Linked DNA regions of Macaca mulatta. The protein of the gene in region 1 purifies or fractionates together with the protein of each later gene. This does not show direct contact. Links are inferred from orthologs where the notes say so. Each region holds a gene or a part of one and is shown in the gene's direction. Other genes may lie near its edges.

Region 1 (4,425 bases):
TCACGCCTGTAATCCCAGCACTTTGGGAGGCTGAGATAGGCAGATCTCGAGGTCAGAAGATCGAGACCATCCTGGCTAACACGGTGAAATCCCGTCGCTACTAAAAATACAAAAAATTAGCCGGGCGTGGTGGCAGGTGCCTGTAGTCCTAGCTACTCAGGAGGCTGAGGCAGGAGAATGGTGTGAACCTGGGAGGTGGAGCTTGCAGTGAGCTGAGATCACACCACTGCACTCCAGCCTAGGCGACAGAGCGAGACTTTGTCTCAAAACAAACAAAAACAAACAAAAAATAGACCTTCAGGTGGGCCAGGCGCAGTGGCTCACGCCAGTAATCCCAGCATTTTGGGGGACCGAGGTGGGTGGATGGCCTGAGGTCAGGACTTCGAAACCAGCCTGGCCAACATGGTGAGACCCCGTCTCTACTAAAATACAAAAATTAGGCATGGTGGCGCACACCTGTAATCCCAGCTATGCAGGAGGCCAAGGTGGGAGAATCGCTTGAACCCAGGAGAGACGGATGTTCCAGTGAGCCAAGATCGTGCCACTGAACTTAAGCCTGAGTAACAGATTGAGACTCTGCCTCAAAAACAAAACAACAAAAAACAGACCTTGGCCTGCTATGCTCAGAGGGATTTCCCTGCTGCACCAGGCTGGCTCCTGCACCTTCTCTCCCAGCATGTTCTGCTGTAGGCTCATGCTCATCCCTGAGCCACTTCAGGGGTGGCCCTGGCCAGCCCTGCCCTTGAGAGGGGTGGGTACTGTCAGGGATCCTGGGTGATGCAGCTTTCCTAGAGCCCCCTGCTCCGTGGCCTCATGTGCCTCACACGCTTAGAACACTTGCTCTTTTACAGGGGGACATGAGCGTGCCGTTTTTAAGCTAATGTGTTAAATGTCTCACTTCGCCTTACAGATGGGGGCTCTTCAGCCTGGGACCCCCAAGGGCAGGGCCTGATTCTCTCCATTCCCTATCGCCAGGCTGGCAGCCCCTGAGGTGACGGCCCTGCGCCTCCTCTGACTTCTAGTTTGGGGGGCCCGGTGGGCAGCGCCCAGGCTCCTCCCGCCTTCCTCCAGTTGGACAGCGAGGGGCGGGGGACGGGGCGTCTGGGGACCCGATCCCCAGATTGGGAGGGCCCAGGAGTGGGGTTCGGGCCCCTGTGCGGGGAGTCCCAACCGCGAGGGCAGCTGTGGTCCTGGCCCCTGCCTCCCGCCGACACCACGGCCCACCCGGGTGGGGACGTCAGACCCGCCGGAGCCGCAGTCCGGGTTCCCGGCTCGAGGGGCGGTGCCCGGGCCCCAGAGTGGGCAGCGATGGGCGGGGAGCCGCCCTCGTACCTTCTGGACCAATGGAGATGCGCGGTTGAAGGCCCCGCCCACTCAGGGCGGGACGACAGCACGCAGGCGCACGGCGCGCCCGGGCGGGCCGGCTGGCTGGGAAGATGGCGGCGGGAGCCCGGGCCGCCGCCGCCGCCGCAGAGCGAACCCGGGGTGTCCGGGGTGCGCGGTCCAGCGCCGGGGCCGGGCCATGAGCGCGCCGCCCTCGAGTCCCCGAGCCGCGGAGCCCGCCCGCGCCCCTCGGGCCGCCCCGCGTCCCTCGCCATGGCGCGGCTCGCGGACTACTTCGTGCTGGTGGCGTTCGGGCCGCACCCGCGCGGTGAGTGCCGAGGCTAAGCGCTGAGGGTCGGGGGCTGGGTTTGAGGGTCGGGGGTCGGGGGTCGAGGGCTGGGGGCTGGGGACCAGGTCGGGGGGCCGAGAACTGAGGGCCGGGCACTGAGGGCTGAGGACCGGGGGCTGGGCGCTGAGGGCCGGGGTCGGGGGGCCGAGGGCTGAGGGCCGGGGACGGGGACGGGGACCGGGGCCCGGGTGGGGGCTGAAGGTCGGGGCGGCCTGACAGCCCGTGGGGAGAATGGGCGTCCGCTGGGGGCGGCGTGGCCGCGCGGGCCTGGTGGCGGCCGGGAGGGAAGCCTGGGCCCGGCCTGCCCGGCCTCTGTGGGGTGGGACGGGCTCTCCCCTTGGCCGGCTGCCGGCGGCTGTGGCTCTAGTGGCTCCAGGGGCGCGGACCCGCGGCTCACCAGCCCGCCCCTGACCTTGGTGCTGCGTCTGAAGCCCCTGGCGGTCTTGGCGGGGTGCAAAGAGGGGGTGGAGTTCGGGTTGGTGCATGGAGAAGCGGTGTTTGACTTGAAACTGGGAGGATTTCAGGAGGAAGCGTCGAGAGTAGAGAGGAGTATTCCTGGCGACTCGCCTGACGGGCCAGGCCCTGCACGCCAAGCCCTGGGTGGGGGATCAGCGTGGCAATGGGTGCCTATGCCCAGGAGGTCTGTGTCTGGGGTCAGCGCCCGTGTCTGAGAGCCCTTCAGCCCAGGGGGTAGGAGAAAACGGAGCCTGACGATGACATCAGCAGCAGCCTGGAGACAGCAGCGCTGGCGAGCGTGCTCGGTGTGCCAGGCCCCGCACAGCCCTTTGTGTGCATGATCTCACCTCTTCCTCCCAGCAGCCCACCGGGGTTGCCCTGCTGTTGCCCCCATCTGTAGAGAAGTCAGGCGGGGATAAGTTGACTGCCTGGCCTGGGCCGGCTCAGAGGGGCTGGGACTGGCACCCAGGCAGTCAAATCCTAGCTGCAGATGGGCAGTAAGTGGGGATGGCTGTGTGGTCAGGCAGGGGCTGGATGTTGAGGTGGGGTTGAGGTTACCTTCCCAGTTACCGTGTTTTTTTTGTCAGTCCAGCTGTCGCTGTCCCCACCCAGGACCTGGACTTCTCTTTTCTTTGTGTTTCTTCTGCTGGACCCCCCACACACTTCCTGAAGCCTCTTTAGCGTCTTCTTCATCTCCAGCCCCTCCTAGTAGCCTCTTACGCAGCACACGCTCTTCCCTGTTACCGTCTATCCAAATGTGTGTCTTATGGCACCGTCCTATCCAAGTGTGTGTCTAACGGCACCGTCAGTCGTGAGCATCTGCCTTTTTCTTTAGAGAGGGAGTTCTCGCTTGCTAGGAGCACACAGTCCTCATCCCCCGGGTGCAGGCTGGCTGTCAGTGTTGCCTTGACCCACAGAGGGAGCTGTCTGTGCTGAGGCACCTGTGAGGGGCAAAGAGGAGGCCGTACCACCTGGGGCAGAGAGTGCCTGAGGGAAGCAAGGCTGGCTGAGGGCTGCCCTGGCGTGAGGGGCCTTGGGCTGGGGGTCGGAACAGGGGCTGCAGGAACAGCTGATGATGACTCTGATGATCCTAAGGGCAGTGTGGAGAGGGTTTCGGTTGGCAGAGACTGCAGGCAAAGGCCAGGTGGGAGGCTTGGTGGCCGTGGGGTGAGGAGTTGAAGGTGGGCACAGAGAAGAGGCAGAGTGGGCTCCACGACAAGCTGGCCGTGACATGTGTGTGCTCACTGCTGGAGCCACATGTAGTGCAGGCACCTGTGTGTGTGTGTGTCCTTTGCGCAGGACAGGGTAGAAGGCTAGAGCCTGAAGTGCCCCCCTCGCCCTTCCCCTAAGTGGCAGGGAGGAGTGATAAGTGGTCCACTGTAGTAGGGTTGGGGGACCGTGGAGCCCTGTGCCCACTACCTTCTGGGGTTGAGCTGGTCAGCTGCTTGCTGGCCTCGCAGCGCCTTTGAAGGACTTGTTTATCCTTGAGGGGAACAAGCCTATAGACTGGGACTCTGGTCATGGACTGAGGATAGAACCAGGTACCAGGGCAGGTCGGGGGCGGAAGAGGCAGAGGAGCATGGCGTGGGGATCACTTATCTCTGCTTTGCCCCTTGAGAGCCTTGTGACTTGGAGCCAGTCGTTTGGCTCTCTGTGCCTCAGTTTCCTCATCTGGGGATGGAGTGAGTCATGCTAACCTCCCAGGCTGCCGTGAGGATGCAGTGAATGCACACGTGTGAAGCGGTGGCACACAGGAGGGCCCTGGAAATGATGAGTATCTTTAGTGACTGAGCAGCAGGTGTGTGGATTCTCTAGGCACAGATACAACAGACACTTCTAAGTGGGTAGAGGACCCCCTCTGTTCTGTCAGGCTGAGTATGACTTCAGGGCCGGATGCAGGGTCTCTTGGGTTGGGGATTAGGAGGGCGGATAGCTTGTCTTGCCTGGATCTGGACATCCTGTCTGGAGCTGCTGGGTGCAGGACCAGGGTGCTGAGGGTGCACGAGTCCTGCCTGAGGCAGCATCCCAGTTGCTAGTGGTCACCAGCTGGAAACCTCTCAGGAAAGGTGGGGAGGGGCCCTGAGAAGGTAAATGCCTGTGCTGGCCGTGACTCTTTCACCTCGGAGAGTGATGGTGGCCGGCGCCGGCCCATCTGCAGGTCCCTCACCTGGTGAGTCAGGGATCACCTTCTGTGCCCTGGGGCCAGCATCAGGACTAGACAGACCTCTGCCCGGCTCTTCGCCCAGAAGGGCCCTGATCACAGCATGGCCAGTGCTGAGGTGTCTTTGGGAGCAGGA
Region 2 (3,806 bases), on another chromosome or scaffold:
TCCCGTGGTTCACACCATTATTCTGCCTCAGCCTCCCAAGTAGCTGGGACTACAGGCGCCCACCACCATGCCCGGCTAACTTTTTGTGTTTTTAGTAGAGACGGAGTTTCACCGTGTTAGCCAGGATGGTCTCGATCTCCTGACCTCGTGATCCACCCGCCTTGGCCTCCCAAAGTGCTGGGATTACAGGCGTGAACCACCGTGCCCGGCCAGAGAAGAAACTTTTTCAAACAAGTTATGCACAGGTGTAACTGCTAGCTTATAGTTCTCCATCTCTCTTGATGCTCTCTTCTCCCTGTGCCAAACCTTAGACTTTGTAATTGTTTGTTCATCCTGTTTCCAGAGGGTGAGTGGGACTCAAGGACAAGGACGGGTTTAAAAACCAAATTTGCCAGATGGTTTTTATTGGATGTTCTGGTAAAGAATTGATGAGTAAGGATCCAAACCACCGACTACAGTTAGATTCGAAGCATGTGGTGTGGCTACATAATTCTGATCCGGTGTTCCTGGGTCTGGGAACTCTTCAGTGCATTGTCAGCTTCAAATTATTCCACTAAGATCTTATTTTCATTACGTTTGTTTCATGATGTTGTCTCTACCTTATATTTGGTATAACGTTTTACGTTACTTATTTTAGACATTTGTAAGAAGTATCTGTGTTTCTAAAGGACTTTTGAGTATATTTTCAGAAATAACACTGAGCTTATTTATAGAAAATAGGACAAGAAATATATAGAAATGTGATTCTAGTGTATAATTTTCATGTTTTAGTATGGTTTGGATATTCTTTTGCTTCTTTAGATTTTTAGAAATGTCTAGGAAATTGGTTTTACCAAATAAATATATATATTGACTTTTAAGTTACAATAAACAACAAATTATAAATGGATTTTAGTTGCAAATAAGAAATGGATATGCTTCATGCTTAGTACTTTTTCAAAGCGTAAAGTCATGCATTTGCCCCTCTTCTTCTTTCTCCAACACCTTACAGGGTTTGCCAAATGAGAGTTGGAAAATATCCAAAATAAACAGTAATTATGAGTTCTGTGACACCTACCCTGCCATCATTGTTGTGCCAACTAGTGTAAAAGACGATGACCTTTCAAAAGTGGCAGCTTTTCGAGCAAAAGGCAGAGTCCCTGTAAGTAATAAACATTGTCATTTATACAGGAATATGTATTGCGTTAGGTCTAAGATGGAAAGATTTAAGACAAGAATTCAGTGAACAAAAATGGAAAGCAGAAAAATAAACTTATAAACCTGGATATACCTTTGATTCTCAACAGATACCTAATTATATAAGCAATCTGTTTGCTATGACTCCCTCTTGTACGATTTCCTATAACTAAGTATAAGGGTAACTTTAGTCATACCCTCTAAAAGTAGTAGAGAATAACAAAGGAGTAGCAAGAACAAGTTAGCATGCTGTTGTATTACCAGTTGGCATTGCTGGTTTCACTGCATCATCCTAGAGAAAATGCTTCTTTCTTAGATACTGAGCATGATGCCATAGCTGCGTGGGGGGAACATCATTACAGAAGTAGTAGCAGACAGCAGGGAGTAATGGTTTGAGCCCAGAGTTTGCATCTGGTGTAATCCTGAGTCACTTGGCCACTGGAGGAAAATGAGAGGTGGGGTGGCAGAGTGGCAGATTTTATAAGAGACTGTATATTCACTTTGTTCTTATCCTGCCACGTATGTTATTGTTGAGATACAAAGTTGTTTTTAAAATTAGGAGACAAGATAAAATTAGTCAATCAAATTGGAATGGGGCTAGATTTTAGTAATAGTTTGATTTGGGTTTTTCTTAGAATCATAGAATTTTTGGGGTGGGAGGGGATTTTTAGATCTCATGTAGTCAGAATTGTTTCATCCTGACCAAAACATTGAGTCTGATGGCCACTACAACTCTGTGATTGGCCTGTCCACTCTCACTTTTGAAGAAAATATGTGTAAGAGACCATGCTTGAGAAGGGAACTTGTTTTTCCTACCAGGTAATTAGAGCATACATTGCTTTAGGAACTGTACTAACACTTGTTGCTTAAAAACACTAGGTGTTGTCATGGATTCATCCGGAAAGTCAAGCAACAATTACCCGTTGCAGCCAGCCACTTGTGGGTCCCAATGATAAGCGCTGCAAAGAGGATGAAAAATATTTGCAAACAATAATGGATGCTAACGCACAGTCACACAAGCTTATCATTTTTGATGCTCGACAAAACAGTGTCGCTGATACCAACAAGGTATATTCTTAATAGCATTGCAGAAACATTGGATATTTTCATGTCCTGTCTGTAAATCATTATGCAGTTGGAATAACTCGTTGATTTTTCACCACCTGAAGTTAGAATCATTTGGAGTCCATAGCTATTCCTCCCTGGTGTATGCTCCTTGGGCTATGTTTGGTGTCTCACATGAATTGGGATCTTGTCTGTTTCATTGCTTCTCTACAATATCCTGTCTGCTAAATCAATTAAGCAAAGACCTAGAAAGACAATGATCATCTAAAGGATTTAGCATTTTAATGATACGATCGTGAGGACTTGAAAGTCCGTTTAAGAAATATAGTGGTTACTTGATTAATTCATGTCTGGTCTGAATTTCTTTTAGAATGGTATCAGCGATGTGAAATGTGTAAATGTACAAAGTTTCCATAAATCTCATGGAGCACCTGTGTAGTGTACCTTGGGTGGCAGTGAGATGTGGTTAAAAACACCTCCGTTCCCATGACTTTCATGATATCACACCCTGAGTTTCTCTCGCTTTTCATTCAGCCTGGCCTTCTCCATCTCCTTAACTGATTTCTCTTCCCAGTCTTCAAATGGCATTGCTCCTTGAACTCGGTCTGGGGTCCTCTCTGCTCCACACAGACTCCTGGGGCCATCTCTGATGGCACAGCTTTAAACACTGTCTGTATGCTGAGTTCAACTTGAGCTTGACACTGCAGTTTCTATCCTGTCCTGATCCCTCCTAAGGTTGAGACTGGATTTCTGTCCCATTGTATGGCTGACATCTCTGCTTGGCTGTTTCCCGGGCCACAAACCCTCCGTGTATTCCAACTGGCCTGAGAGGCAGGATGGTAAGTTGGTGAGACATCTCGGCTTTGGAATCACTTACCTCTGGGTTTTCCTCCAGGTTCTGCCACTTGGTGCTCTAGATTCCAGAGCTGGTTACTTAACCTCTCTCTGTGCCTCAGGTTCCTCTTCTGTAAACAGGAGATAATGTCAGTGTCTCATGTCACGGTTGTGTGAGGATTAAAATTCAGTGAGAAGAATGCATGTAAATGACTTAGCACAGCGGCGGGTGCATCCTCAGGGCACAGTACATGATGCTGATAAGCTCACCACCCCTGTGGTCAAGGGGGCTGCCCAGGTGTCTGACTTGAGGGTGGTGTCTGTTACTGAGATGGGGAAGACTGGGAGAGGAACAGGGCAGGGAGGAAGATGGGGGAGTATTAGTTTTCTGAGGCTGTCATACAAATTACTACCAACTTGGTGGCTTATAGCACCAGAAATGTATTGACCACAATTCTGGAGGCCAATTCTGCTCCCTCTAAACGTTCCAGGGGAGAATCTATTCCTTGCCTCTTCTAGCATGGGGTGGCTGCCCCAGCCTTCCTGGGCTTACAGCCACATCACTCCAATCTCTTCTTCTGTTATCACATGACCCTCTCTTGCTCTGTGTTTCTGTGTCTCCTCCTTTCTCTTCGAATGACACTTGTGATGACATTTAGGGTCCACCTGAAATAATCCTGGATCCTTAAACACATCTGCAAAGACCCTCTTTTCAATTAATCTTTGAAGCC

The links.
Region 2: the proteins of SBF1 (region 1) and MTMR1 purify together in Homo sapiens (affinity purification with mass spectrometry; 4 studies listed by BioGRID and IntAct, with this or other methods). This does not show direct contact. The link is inferred for Macaca mulatta from reciprocal best matches to the Homo sapiens genes SBF1 and MTMR1.

What each region holds. Positions count from the first base shown.
Region 1 is NC_133415.1:982,879-987,303, forward strand, and holds the start of SBF1 (myotubularin-related protein 5), read left to right. Parts: upstream 1-1,413; 5' UTR 1,414-1,596; coding exon 1,597-1,651; intron 1,652-4,425. UniProt on the Homo sapiens protein: Acts as an adapter for the phosphatase MTMR2 to regulate MTMR2 catalytic activity and subcellular location. Promotes the exchange of GDP to GTP, converting inactive GDP-bound Rab proteins into their active GTP-bound form.
Region 2 is NC_133426.1:156,978,486-156,982,291, forward strand, and holds part of MTMR1 (phosphatidylinositol-3-phosphate phosphatase MTMR1), read left to right. Parts: intron 1-991; coding exon 992-1,141; intron 1,142-2,055; coding exon 2,056-2,244; intron 2,245-3,806. UniProt on the Homo sapiens protein: Lipid phosphatase that specifically dephosphorylates the D-3 position of phosphatidylinositol 3-phosphate, generating phosphatidylinositol. Could also dephosphorylate phosphatidylinositol 3,5-bisphosphate to produce phosphatidylinositol 5-phosphate.